Saccharomyces cerevisiae S288C: one gene and its partner. The protein of the gene in region 2 interacts with the protein of the main gene of each other region in a pairwise test. Each region holds a gene or a part of one and is shown on either strand. Other genes may lie near its edges. The genes, in order: URB1 and URB2.

What was found.
Region 1: the proteins of URB2 (region 2) and URB1 interact in binary tests that used the Saccharomyces cerevisiae proteins (3 or more experiments, as listed by UniProt).

Annotation. Positions count from the first base shown.
Region 1 is NC_001143.9:411,031-418,689, forward strand, and holds URB1 (Urb1p), read right to left. Parts: upstream 5,884-7,659; coding exon 589-5,883; downstream 1-588. Other genes in the region: PUT3 (Put3p), read left to right, coding at 1-453; ARC19 (Arc19p), read right to left, coding at 6,478-6,993; snoRNA-splicing protein PRP40, read left to right, coding at 7,280-7,659. UniProt on the Saccharomyces cerevisiae protein: Required for 60S ribosomal subunit formation and pre-rRNA processing. Required for normal accumulation of 25S and 5.8S rRNAs.
Region 2 is NC_001142.9:509,438-515,273, forward strand, and holds URB2 (ribosome biogenesis protein URB2), read right to left. Parts: upstream 4,327-5,836; coding exon 802-4,326; downstream 1-801. Other genes in the region: GEF1 (Gef1p), read left to right, coding at 1-648; NUP85 (Nup85p), read left to right, coding at 4,618-5,836.

The DNA of each region.
Region 1 (7,659 bases), on a different chromosome or scaffold from region 2:
TCAATTATAGACTGTGATAAATCAAACACCAATACAAATATGATCAAGAACGAATCTATATCGAACATTGTTAGCATACTTCCGGAAGGCGCGAAACCAACGCTGACTGATTATAGTAATGGTAATAATGATGTTAATGATATTAACGTCAATAACTCGGAACCTTCTACTTTTTTTGATATCATAACTGCGAGCTTGGAAAATTCATACCAAACCACGCTAACTGAAAAGGGCTCTCAGGTGATGGAAAAAAACATGGATCAGTTGGATTCCGTTCATAATCTAAATGATGACGATTTACAACAATTGTTGGAGGATTTAGGCAATATTGATCATTCCGATGAAAAACTTTGGAAGGAAATCACTGATCAAGCAATGTGGCTGGGAAATACTATGGATCCAACTGCAGCTGCTGGTAGTGAAATTGACTTTACTGATTATTTAGGACCATAACACCATTACAAAGACAAAGAAGAAAATACTGATTTCTTTGTTTTCTTATGCATATATTATACATTTCGCACATTATATAGAAAAGTGGACATTTAATTCTTCAAATCTTATTTAAAATATCTATCACAAGACAGCTCATTTACGTAGCCTCTTGACAACATTGTCGCTATCACCTTCTGTCCATAATATTAGCCTTTTTTGTGATTTGACAAGCTCGTTGTAGCCTAATAGTAGTTTTTCAATTCCGTTTTGTTCTTGGGCTAACCTCAAAGTAGTATTTAATGTACCTCTGTTTTCGTTCCGTAAAGTACCAATGTTGTTCAGTATATCGTCCTGTGGTAGTCTAGATTTGATGTTATTGTTCAAAACCTCGAAAAACGACACAATACCGTTTCTGCTAATTAAATTCAAACCACCATCATCTGCTACCCTTTGGACTTTGTAAAAAATAAAATAGATTAGTTCGCGTAATCTTTCTTTCAAGTATGGCATATTGATCAAGTTTAACAACCATTCAAATACACCTTTCTTCTCTAACATCTTGTAATCTTCATCCGTTTTAATTCCCTTACAAATGGTTGTTAAAACCCAACTCAATTCTCCATAGTATATTTCCATATCAATTTCTTTCTTATTGTCATCTTGTTGTCTCTTATTGTAGGACATCATCACATCAGATACCATAGGGATGTCCCAACTACGTATGGTAGAATTTGATAATACCCAGCGGTATGCCTTCTCATGTAAGGGCGCAGTTGGACTTCCCAATAGATCAACAATTCTAGAGATAGAAAACCAAATTAACGGATTGATAGGATCTTGATTTTGTTGTCTCTGGTATAAAATCCTTTTAATCAACACTTGGTAAATGCTATTATATTTGATTAAATCGCTATCAGATTCTTTTCTTTCATTATCCTTGCTAGTTATTTGCTTTTCAAGATTCATCTGGGCAGTTTTCTTCTCCAAAGAAGAAGCTAAATTTGATAAATGTTCGTAACTTATATTGGCAACGGTATGACAATCGCTTAATGAGCAAATAATAAACTGAAATATTTTGCAATCAAGGAAATTTTCAAATTCATATCTGTATGTTACATTGCCCTCGTCATCTTTGACCATTTTTACCAGCTCTTTGTTATGGATTATTAATAGCAGTAAAAATAATGGATCGTACATATCAACACCAGATCGTTCGGTATCATCGTAGTACTTTTTGACTAGGTCACACCTTGTAGTAGCATCATAATTGTTTGTATTAGAATCGGTATATAATTCAGGGACTTGAGGCCTTTCCAATACGTATCTGTCAATGGACTTTTTGATCATGTTTTTTTGTAGTGTTAGTATCAACCCCTCCCTTTCTTTGGTAATCAGCCTCGTGTCTCCAATGGCTTCCAAGATTTCTTCCTCTTCGTCTTTGATAAATTCCCAAGAAAAAATCATGTTTGTCCATGAAGTAGCGGTGTGAGATTCGATAGTTTCTAGAATTTTCAGTATCAACTTGTCGTTACTGGAAATAGTACCGGAGTAAAAAGTCAATAATTTCTCTTGAACTATTGGCGTCGAATTTACGACCGGGTCGATGCTGAATAAAGAGAATAATATCATTGTGCTTAAGAACTTTCGATACGATGAATCTTCATCATTGTCTTTAATCATTATTGATGAGTAACTGTCATTGCTTAATAAAAGTTGAACCATTCTTTGCGATTGAATTGACTTTTTGCTCACACAAAAAATTAATACAATAACGTATTCAAGAACCTTAATTTGTTTGATCCACTCACTGCCTAGAATAGCCTCTAATTGAGAATTAATGATTTTGACATTCAACTTATTTGGTACCTCTTCAAGTTTTAAGAGCTCAGCCATCGCTCTTAGTAACTCAAAAAAAGAATTGGAGATAACTTTTCTTTCTGAAAGGTACTTTGTAAGGTAAAGAAGAGTTTTATGTAACCATGTTTCTACCCCTGGATAAGTAAAATTATTGTGTGCAGCTATGTATCTTACTGTAGCAGCATGATATTTATGGTCGCTCTGTGATAAAACACATTTCAAAATTTCATTTCGTTTCGTTTCGTCATAGAAATCAATATAAGTGGTAATCATATTTAATATTTCGTCAAAAATCTCACTTTTCGAGGTAGTGTAAGTACTTTTCGCAATTTCATTACCATACTTGGAAATGGTTTCATGCGCAAATGCGCTAAAATCTTTATCCTGCATGTGCTTGAACAAAGCAGCCGTTGTTACAATACTTAGTAAAGGTGAATCCTTGATCCTCCAGATACTTGGTATGAAAGATGGGAAAGAAAAATGTTCCCATCTGTAAAAAGCTTTCAGTACTAGATAATTCAAATCACTAGACACAAAACTATTTATCAGAGAAGTAGTTTCTGAAAGGGATAGCTTACCCATAGGATCAGATGAAGCATCAACACAAACTTTGTTTTCTTCAAAAAATTTAGCCAAAGAGATGTTTACTTCCTTAATTGAAGCAGGATCTTCATTTGCAGCTTTGTTCAGTATATTCTTTACAAGGGATATTTTTATAGTTTTTCCTTCGTTGAATAATTTTTGGAGAATGTTTCTTGTGGACTCTAGTTTGGTGCTACACATGAGTAGCGAAGTTAAAGCTGAAGTACTTAAATACTCACTAACACTTGTTAAGAAAGCATTTACATCTTCTTTCTGATACAACTCATTATAGTTGGCATACTCTTCGACATTTTCACCACTAAACACGACTTTTTGAATTATTTCTCGGAATTCCACTAATTGATGGCCTGTTTCAAAGCATACTGCACCGATTAAATTGCACATGAACCTTGATTTTTTCATGAGTAGAGCATTTCTTTTTTCAATGGCCAGTTTTGGTAAAGCGAAATTTATATACCTTTCCAAAACTTTGATAATTGGGAATTCTGTGTCTGTTACCATGTAGCTAGCAATCTTGCCAGTTAACTCACAGGCAGTTGCTTCGAACCAATTGTCATATACAACAGAATCGTCTTCTACCAATAACTGAACTCTAAAAAGGATTCCTGCCGCATCTAATTTGTTCACTGGTAATCTAGAAATATTCATTAGATTTTTAGATGGAAGCGCCGAAATATACTGGAAAAAAGATGAGCTCTTCATTGAAGAAATTAAAGAATTAGAGCTATTAGTTTTCTTTATGTTTTCTTCAAATGAGTCAAGTTTCAAGTATATATTAACATCATGATCAGAGACCTCAGGAAAGACATTTTTAACAAGTTTATCTATGCCTATATGGTCTTCACCAATGAAAATCATGTTTCTAAGAAAAAGTATAAGCCATTTAATTAAAAACTCTGGGTTTCCACTCTTGTCAACGTATTTCCATTGCTCTGAAAGGCACATTATGAAGGGAGAAATGTAGTTATACTCTTTTGCCATATCGACGTACTTGTATGGTGTTTTTACGACACGAGATATAGTTTCGTCAAACCACTTCCAGACTTGTTCCATGTTGTCAATTTCAGAAACTTGAAGGGAAAGCCCTTGAAGACTATTCACTAAAGCCATCACTGGTGAAATTAAAGATATGTTGAAGATAACGTTTGTTCTCGTCAGCTCATCGAGCAAGTTGGATATTCTTGTAGTTATCACGTTAGAAGCATTTTTGGAGGATGCTAGCTTTAATAGTAGGGTGAATAAAGAATTTCCACCAGAACTTGGATTCCACCACCTGGTTTGAGTAGAGTTAAATTCTTGAAATTGTAAGTAGTTGTCCAGAATAGCAAATTCTATGCCAGAAATCTTGGATTTTTGCATGATATCTGTGTAAATATTTGATGATGGTAGGTTAATTGAGAAGAGGTTGGGGAACATTTTACTATAGTAGTTGAATATGATGGATATGGACAGAGGTAAAATTCTATTATCCTTATTGGAAGCCAAAGAATTGCTCAAAGTAGATACGAAGATTGGTAAATCAGGAATTCTAGTATGAAACTCGTTGAGTAAAATAGTTTTTTCATTTCTCCAGCCTTTTTGATCATAAAATGTGGAAACTTTTTCTAATTTTTTTAACGCTAGAACTATTGATTGACAGGCTAATTGTCTTATGATGGGTGTTTCAAATTGTAGGGATTTAACCAACGAGGATTTGGTGAGCAAAGATGGCAGAATGTTTTCTATAACTAATGAAGTGGCAGGTGGAATATTGCTATCAACTTTCTCCATAAATTGCGGTATCTTAAGATTAATAATCTTGTTAATCAGTAACGTTATACCAAACCAATACGAAGTCATCTTAGGGTCATAGTTACCATTCGTCGTTAAAAAGATGCTGTAAGGAGCAACAAGTTCGGGAACGTTCTCCAATATTTTGATCAACGTACCTAATTGCAGCGTATCTTCCCAAGGTTTGAAAAGGCGTAAAGTGTTGAACAAAAGTTTATTATGAATTTGAAATTCCACTTGGTTGACGGTTATCGGAGCTCCATGAGAAGCTCCATCAGCAACTGAATTTTTGAACCAAACGCAATTATCAGGAAATGCTACGCTAAAGTCACGGGAAGCTCCAAAAGTTAAGAAAAACTCATTTGCCTTCTTAACCAAATTCTTGTTTGATGAATAATAAAAGTGATGAATCTTTGAAGCCGCTAGTTCATTTAAAATTTTGGTTTTAGTAGTTCTCTTGAAGGATTTCTCCTTTAAAATGTCGTTTATGAATACCGATAGTATGTGCTCAGATAACTTGTCAGAATCAGCCTTATTCATGAATTTAAATAGGTTGCTCATAATCTTAAAGTTTTCTGTCAAAAGTTCTTTTCTCACGAATGGGGAAGCATTTGAGATCAATGTCAACCAAAACTTGATAAATGTAAATCTTAATGAGTCATGTTTGGATGAATCAGCAGATGAATTCCCATTGGCTAACTCAGACTTGCTTGGTACCAACAGTCTTGGTAAAATAGGTAATGAAAAATCGAAATATGAAACTAATTCCTCTATATGTTGCCCATTGTTGAAATTGACTATTTGTTTGAGTAGACGAAGAATTGGATTAGTTAATTGCGCACGCATATTGTTCAACCCTCTATAGAGAACTTTTGTGTAATCGGTCAATATCAATCTAATTAGACCGCTCCCAATAGTCACTGTACTAGTATCAGATGACAAAACTCGTAAGGTTTTAGTCAGTAATGAGGTAGTTTTCGAGAATTTCCCATGGTTATTTACTTGAGCATAATATGACCAAGTCTGTACCAATTGAGCACCAAATCCTCTTTGGAAGAACACTATTAGAGGTTGGTAATCTTTGGAGAGAGTTTCATCTTCGACTGCACTGATTATACTTTCTAGTGTTTCTAATGTACCGTCTTCGAACTCTTTCCCTTGGGTGTACTTCTCCCTTCTCTGGTCGCGAGATCCATAGGCTTCGCTATGATTACTCATTATGTAAGTGCTCCTCTAGTTCTGTTAGATGAAGTAGTACCGCATAGATTAGAGAAATAATATCCAATCAAGAATATAACCGAACTATTCTTTGCGATGAGCTTTATTGCTGAAATTTTTCATATTTCGTCTACAGTGATATAATATTGAAATCCTCATGCAAGTCGTGCATAGGTAAAAGCTGTTTACTATATGTTGGTGCACTATTATCATATAATTTTAGTTTGGTCGTATACTAGTGCGGCAGTAATAATAAATGCTTTAGAATCTTCAATCTTCATTTGTTTACGTAAAATGAAAACGTTTTGTGTTAGAATTGACAGATTGAAGTTTAATTTTAGGTGTCGGGAGAAACATTTTAATCCCTTTTTATGAATATAATTTAAGTACTAAAAAAATCACCATAATTATACAAAGTAACTGCAATTTAAAAGTACGTTTATAATTAATTCACATACACATGTTATTGTATCTAACTAAATAGTCTCGAAATAGTTCAATTGAGTACGCAAACTAACACAGTCAGTACAGATCGTAAAGTTTTCCGTCAATAGGGCCCTGACGGAGAAAGATTCCCTTTCCTATATTAGGAATCTAATAGACAAATTCATCAAGATATGCTTCCGCAACAAATCTTGCTCTGGCATTCAAAAACAGTTTAATTTCACTGATTTCCTTATCCACGTCCTCCATGAATTCAATAATAAAATCAACCAATTTCCCAGTTTTCATTGATTCAGTATGCTTATTAGTTATTAGAAAAGAAATACTGTAGCCAGGTATTGGTACACGTCTCAGAATGTAGAATGCTTCAGCACGCTGTTCCAAAAATCTAGTAAACTTGTGAACTAAAATCTGCTCAATTTCATCTGCCTGTTTCACCATTAAACTCATACGCACCGAGTTTACACTGGGCTCAATCAATACTTGTTCATTTTCATTACGAGATATATGCATCGGTTGGAGCAACAATTCGGCGCTAGTGTTAGGGACTTCAACTTCCGGTCTGTTGTGCCTCTCCACTTCCTGCGAAGAGAAATTGCTCAAAGTCAACGCAGCTTCCAGGGAATAACGAACAGCCGTTAGATACGGACGTAATGATTGTGACATTTCCTACTATCAGTTGCTTCCTCTTTTATCTTTTGTCAAAGTGACACCGAGTTGTTCCGAAAGCCTCTATTTGCTTGGCTTTACAGGCTTTTTTTGTTCTATAATTGTATTTTGCTATACAAAAGGGGCGACGTGGTAAACGATATGAAATTATCGACAATAATAATGTACTTGGAAATCTGGCAGTTGATGACATCGCAATAGCGTGCCTACCTATCAGGATAACAAGGTCTGAAGCCAGATCGACCACTAGACAAGCATTGCCGGAGGTGGGAGACGTGAAACTATGTCTATTTGGAAGGAAGCTAAAGATGCAAGTGGAAGGATATATTATTACAATACTTTGACAAAGAAATCTACGTGGGAGAAGCCCAAGGAACTAATTTCTCAGGAGGAGCTACTTCTTCGAGAAAATGGCTGGAAGGCGGCCAAGACGGCAGACGGCAAAGTATACTATTATAATCCAACAACAAGAGAAACCAGCTGGACTATTCCGGCCTTCGAGAAGAAAGTAGAACCCATCGCAGAACAAAAACATGATACAGTATCCCATGCACAGGTTAATGGAAATAGAATAGCCCTTACGGCTGGAGAAAAACAAGAGCCGGGACGAACTATAAACGAGGAGGAAAGCCAATATGCTAATAACTCTAAACTGCTTAATGT
Region 2 (5,836 bases):
AATGGATTCCCATATTTGGAAGACGAGCAAGACGAGGAAGAGGAGGAAACCTTAGAAAAATACACTGCAGAGCAGCTCATGTCCTCCAAATTAATTACTATTAATGAAACCATTTACCTTTCCGAGCTTGAATCTTTGTTGTACGACTCAGCGTCTGAATATTCTGTGCATGGTTTTCCAATAACTAAGGATGAGGATAAGTTTGAGAAGGAAAAAAGATGTATTGGCTATGTTTTAAAAAGGCACTTAGCCAGTAAAATCATGATGCAAAGCGTAAATAGCACCAAAGCTCAAACGACACTGGTATACTTCAATAAGTCTAACGAAGAGTTGGGACATCGTGAAAACTGCATCGGATTTAAGGATATTATGAATGAATCTCCAATCTCGGTGAAGAAGGCGGTGCCAGTAACATTGTTATTCCGTATGTTTAAAGAGCTAGGTTGTAAGACTATCATCGTAGAGGAAAGTGGAATTTTAAAGGGGTTGGTCACTGCTAAAGATATTTTGAGGTTCAAAAGAATTAAGTATCGAGAAGTTCACGGTGCGAAATTTACATATAATGAAGCACTTGATAGAAGATGTTGGTCAGTTATCCATTTCATAATCAAAAGGTTTACCACTAATCGAAATGGTAACGTTATATGATTAGACATTTATGTAATTTTTAAGGCGCTAGTATAGATTATTCAAAATTATATGATACAGACTTTTATCAATTTTTACTTGTTTAAGCTCCGTCACCCTGTTATTAAACGTGAGCAGAGAAATGCCTTTTGAAAACACACTAAAACACATAAGTTAATCTTCGCGCCATTTACCAACCTTTTTGTATTGGAGGTAAAGTGCTTTGAAATATTGTTTCCCAGGTGTGTCAAGGAAAGCGTTCAATTGATTCAACTCGTTCTGAGATAATATATCAAAAATCGCATGAATACCGGGCTGCAGACTCTTTTTTATGTTTAAACTGAACTGCGTCGTAATAGACAACTGTATATATTTCGTTAGAACCACAAGTACATTTTTTCTGATGGACTGCTTTATCAAACTTATCTTTGAGCTTAAGTTATTTTTCTGCCCATTTTGAGCGTTTGATACATTATAAGGCTCGCAGTAGTTCGTTATTAGTCTGGCTACGGCGTCTGCTGAATTTGCACACAATGTACCATCATGAATTGCTATTATTTCTAGTATCTGGCAAAGAACGGAGTTAAACAAATGGTGACGATTGGAAAATTTAAACCTGTGAACTAATAGCATATGATCTATCACTTCGATGATGTTAATAAAGCCTTCATTGATTTCATCCGTTGACTCATGGTTTACTATAAAAGCGAGAGTTTTTAAACAGAAAGGAAGCAGCATTTCAATACAGTATTGGCTGAATAGCCATGGTTTCGATACTAAGAACTCCTTGATAGCATTGAACAGTAGCAAGTATGACTTGTAGCCAAATTTTTCTATATCACAATAGGTGTAGGCTTCAAGTAAAGCTATCACAAATAGGTGATGACCAAGGTTATTGTCTCTTGCAATCCTTTTTGACATTATGATAAAAACTCTCACAAATTTTTCAGCACAAGGTTGGCTAATGGTGGAAAACGATTTAGCACTGTTCCAGAGCAGGCGGTTAAACGCATCAGGACCTTGTTTAAGACTTTCTTCCAAGCAGAACCCCAAGGCAGAATCGCACTTATCTGTATGCTCAATATTTAAGTACTCTGCAAAAATATACTCCAACTTGTTTTCTGTAAGGAGTGAATGAACCAAAAACATTTCCTGTTCTTCTGGCGCATGGTACACTTTTTTAGAATGATATCGAAGCATAATTTTGGAAAATATATCCAGAATTCTCGATTTATGCTTAGAAATATCGCCTTGTCCGGTCGTTATAATCTTGTACAATGTAGACATTGATATTCTGAAAAGGGGAATTGTTTCAGATTCAAAATTTTCAGAGTAGTTTTCCAAAATTTTAACAGCATAGCTAATTGCCATACCTTGTATATCTCTATGCTTGTTATCTGGTTTCAAAAATTTTGCGATAGTAAACCCGGCGATAATTAGTTTGCTATCACCATTGGACAATGACATTGACTGTTTAACGATATCGTAACCAGATTCTAAGAACTTCTCACTCACAGGCTCCTTTGCCTGTGACAGATGATTAGTCCAAACTTTTTCGAAAATAGATATTTTGTCTTCTATTTCCTTTTTTTCATCACCTGTCTCTGAAATGGCCATTTCGGGGCTCATTATTGTTTTCTCACATAATTCGTAGAAATTTGTTTCAATGTTGCTCTTGAAGGTCGGGCTTGACAATAAATGAAGGAGGCATTCTCTAGTAGCGGAATCAAGGCAAAATGATTCGCATGTTAGATTGTTAATGAGAGCCACTCTAACGTTTTTGTTGATGCATTGGATAGGAATTTGAATCAAAGCTTCTAGAGCGAAGGTTTGATGGTATGATGAAGCAAGCTTGTTTATTAAAGCGTACGTGATATTTGTCTCCTCAAAAATGTCATCATTTTTTAATAACGAAGATAAATTTGTCGAGTTCAATAGTAATGAATCAATTAAAGAAGAAATTTGTTCTCTTGTAAAGTTGTTGTTTACTAATGTTGCAAATTTGGACACAACAGAGTATGATAAGTTTGACTTTCTTTCTTCGTCAAGGATTTCAAAGTGCCTCATGAATTTTTTTTTTGCATCAGAAAGATCGAACGAAATATATTCTCTCAATTTGAAGCAATAAAAGAACAGTTCTTCAACATCAGCCGATGTAGTATCAAAAATATTAGAAGATAACACGTAATCGATTTTTTCTAGTTCCTCTGCAGGGACAATATCATCGTAGACTTCCATTATATGATACTTTAGGTCCCATTGAAGACTGTTATTAAATGATTCCAAAGTAAATACTTGAGATAAAATAGGCTTTACCTCATCGAGAGTTGCGCGCGATGCGCCCTCTGATAGTCCCTCCAAGCATATGCGTATTAAATATAAAGGAACCCTGTTGGTGGAATCGTGATTGACTTGGTCAAGTAAAGCTTGCAATAGATTTTTCCATTGTAAAGAAGATAAAGTGAACAATTGCTTCGTTATAGACTTGACATATGCAGGATGATTTATCAAAAAATAGGAATCGGGTCCTTTTCTGGAACAGTACTCATTTATTTTGGCAAAAAAATCTGATAATTCCCTTGCGTTAGCGTGTGATTGGATTATTAAATCCCAAATATGAGAGGAAAAGAGAGGATCGTTCAAATTTTCGAGCTGAATCAATTCAAGTAACCGAAAAATATGTTTAATAGCAACCTCGATATCCAATTTAAGGATAATTGGTATTAATGATAACACTCCAGATTCATCAGTCGACGCTAACATTTCAAGCAATAATGCTTCAAGGAACTCTTGAGATACGGTTTTCTTCGATTCCGATAAAAGATTCAGAAATCTGCATTCTAAACTAGGTTTCTTGGCACCTAAAATTGTAAAGATGACTTCTAGTTGAGCAAAATTGTCTTTTGATAAGAAAGTGACGAAAGTGGCAAAATAATAATAAGCCATATCGTCGGTAATTTCGGACGCATTCTCTTGGACAAACTTTTTATTTAATTTCATGTAATCTATGCGTGGTTGTAAAAGGAACTTTCCCATAAAATGAGATAGACGAATGAAGGATTGGTTTGAAGATGCAGAATTTTTGGTCTGTGCGAAATATCTTAAACTTGGTAGTAGCATATGCTTGCAGTAACAAGTAGCAATTTTGTTATCCGTTGTAGTAATATTGTCAACATGAGTTAGATTGCAGGCATCTTGCAAGTATGAAAGCGCAAAGTCAGTCGTCGGGCACGAACTTAATCCATTTATGGCATGTTCTAAAAGTTGAAAAGACTCTTCAACAGAAAAATTGACAATCAAGTAGTCATTAATCGCAAAAAATGCTTTTATAAACGAAACGCTACGTGTAAGTAATTTGTCTTTAGGCCAAAGGAAAAATGTTCTTATCATTACAGGCACAGTCTTCAATTTTTTGAGTAGTTTTTTTATCGAAATTGGATCATTAATAGCATCTAATAATCTCGTGAAAATTATCCAAGTATGTTCACTGGTCTTAAAATCATCCAAATTTCCATTGTTGAGCCTATCAATGAGTAAATCTAAGACGAAAATTTCTTTTTTTGGAAAGTAGGTTTCTAATTTATCAAATTTTGAAACTATCTCGGCAATTTGATGGGGTTTTGTGCTCGTCGAACGTAGTAATTTCGACAAATCTTGGGCATTGTCTGGGATAGATAGTTCTTCTGTAAGATCACCCATATTATCAAAAAGTGCAGTATACTCTCTGTTTTTCCAAAGATAATTGATGGCAAGCTAAATCTTAGACAGAGATGTTCCTATGCTAGTAAACAATTCTGTAGTTGTGACCAAGTGCCCTCTTAGCGATCATTTTGAGATGAGCTAAGTGAAATTTTTCAGATCGCGCACGACGGAGAGGTTTTTTAGTTGGATGGAAGTCAAGCCTTGTACAAATTGTAGTTGTATAGAAAACATTGAACTTACGGTCTTGAGTTGAGTCAATAAGCGTGAGCCAGAACGCAATTATCAGATATGACAATCGATGATTCAAATCGATTACTTATGGACGTCGATCAATTTGATTTTTTGGACGACGGAACGGCGCAACTTAGTAATAACAAGACCGATGAAGAAGAACAACTATATAAAAGGGACCCAGTCAGCGGGGCTATCCTGGTCCCTATGACTGTAAATGATCAACCGATTGAAAAAAATGGCGACAAGATGCCTTTAAAGTTCAAGCTGGGGCCACTTTCTTACCAAAATATGGCATTCATAACTGCAAAAGATAAATATAAGCTTTATCCTGTTAGAATTCCTAGATTAGATACCAGCAAAGAGTTTTCTGCATACGTATCAGGTTTATTTGAAATTTACCGTGATTTAGGTGATGACAGAGTGTTTAATGTACCAACGATTGGAGTTGTTAATTCTAATTTCGCGAAGGAGCATAATGCAACAGTAAATCTGGCCATGGAGGCGATTCTGAATGAATTGGAAGTGTTTATTGGTAGAGTCAAGGATCAGGATGGAAGAGTGAACCGATTTTATGAGTTGGAAGAATCTTTAACCGTTTTAAACTGTCTGAGGACAATGTACTTCATATTAGATGGTCAGGATGTAGAGGAGAACAGATCAGAGTTTATTGAGTCATTGCTAAACTGGATTAATAGATCAGACGGTGAACCAGATGAAGAATATATTGAACAAGTGTTTTCAGTGAAGGATTCTACAGCAGGTAAAAAAGTGTTCGAAACACAATATTTCTGGAAGCTTTTGAATCAGCTTGTTTTAAGAGGCCTGCTCTCCCAAGCTATAGGTTGCATTGAAAGATCAGATCTTTTACCATATTTGAGTGATACATGTGCCGTTTCATTTGATGCAGTAAGTGACTCCATCGAACTCCTGAAACAATATCCAAAAGATTCGTCCAGTACATTTAGAGAATGGAAAAATTTGGTGCTAAAATTAAGTCAAGCCTTTGGTAGTTCTGCTACTGATATTTCCGGTGAATTACGGGATTACATTGAAGATTTCTTGTTAGTAATTGGTGGAAATCAACGAAAAATTCTGCAGTATTCAAGGACGTGGTATGAGTCCTTTTGTGGGTTTTTATTATACTATATCCCCTCATTAGAACTATCAGCAGAATATTTACAAATGTCACTGGAAGCTAACGTCGTAGACATAACAAATGATTGGGAACAACCATGCGTCGACATCATTAGTGGTAAGATACACTCAATTTTAC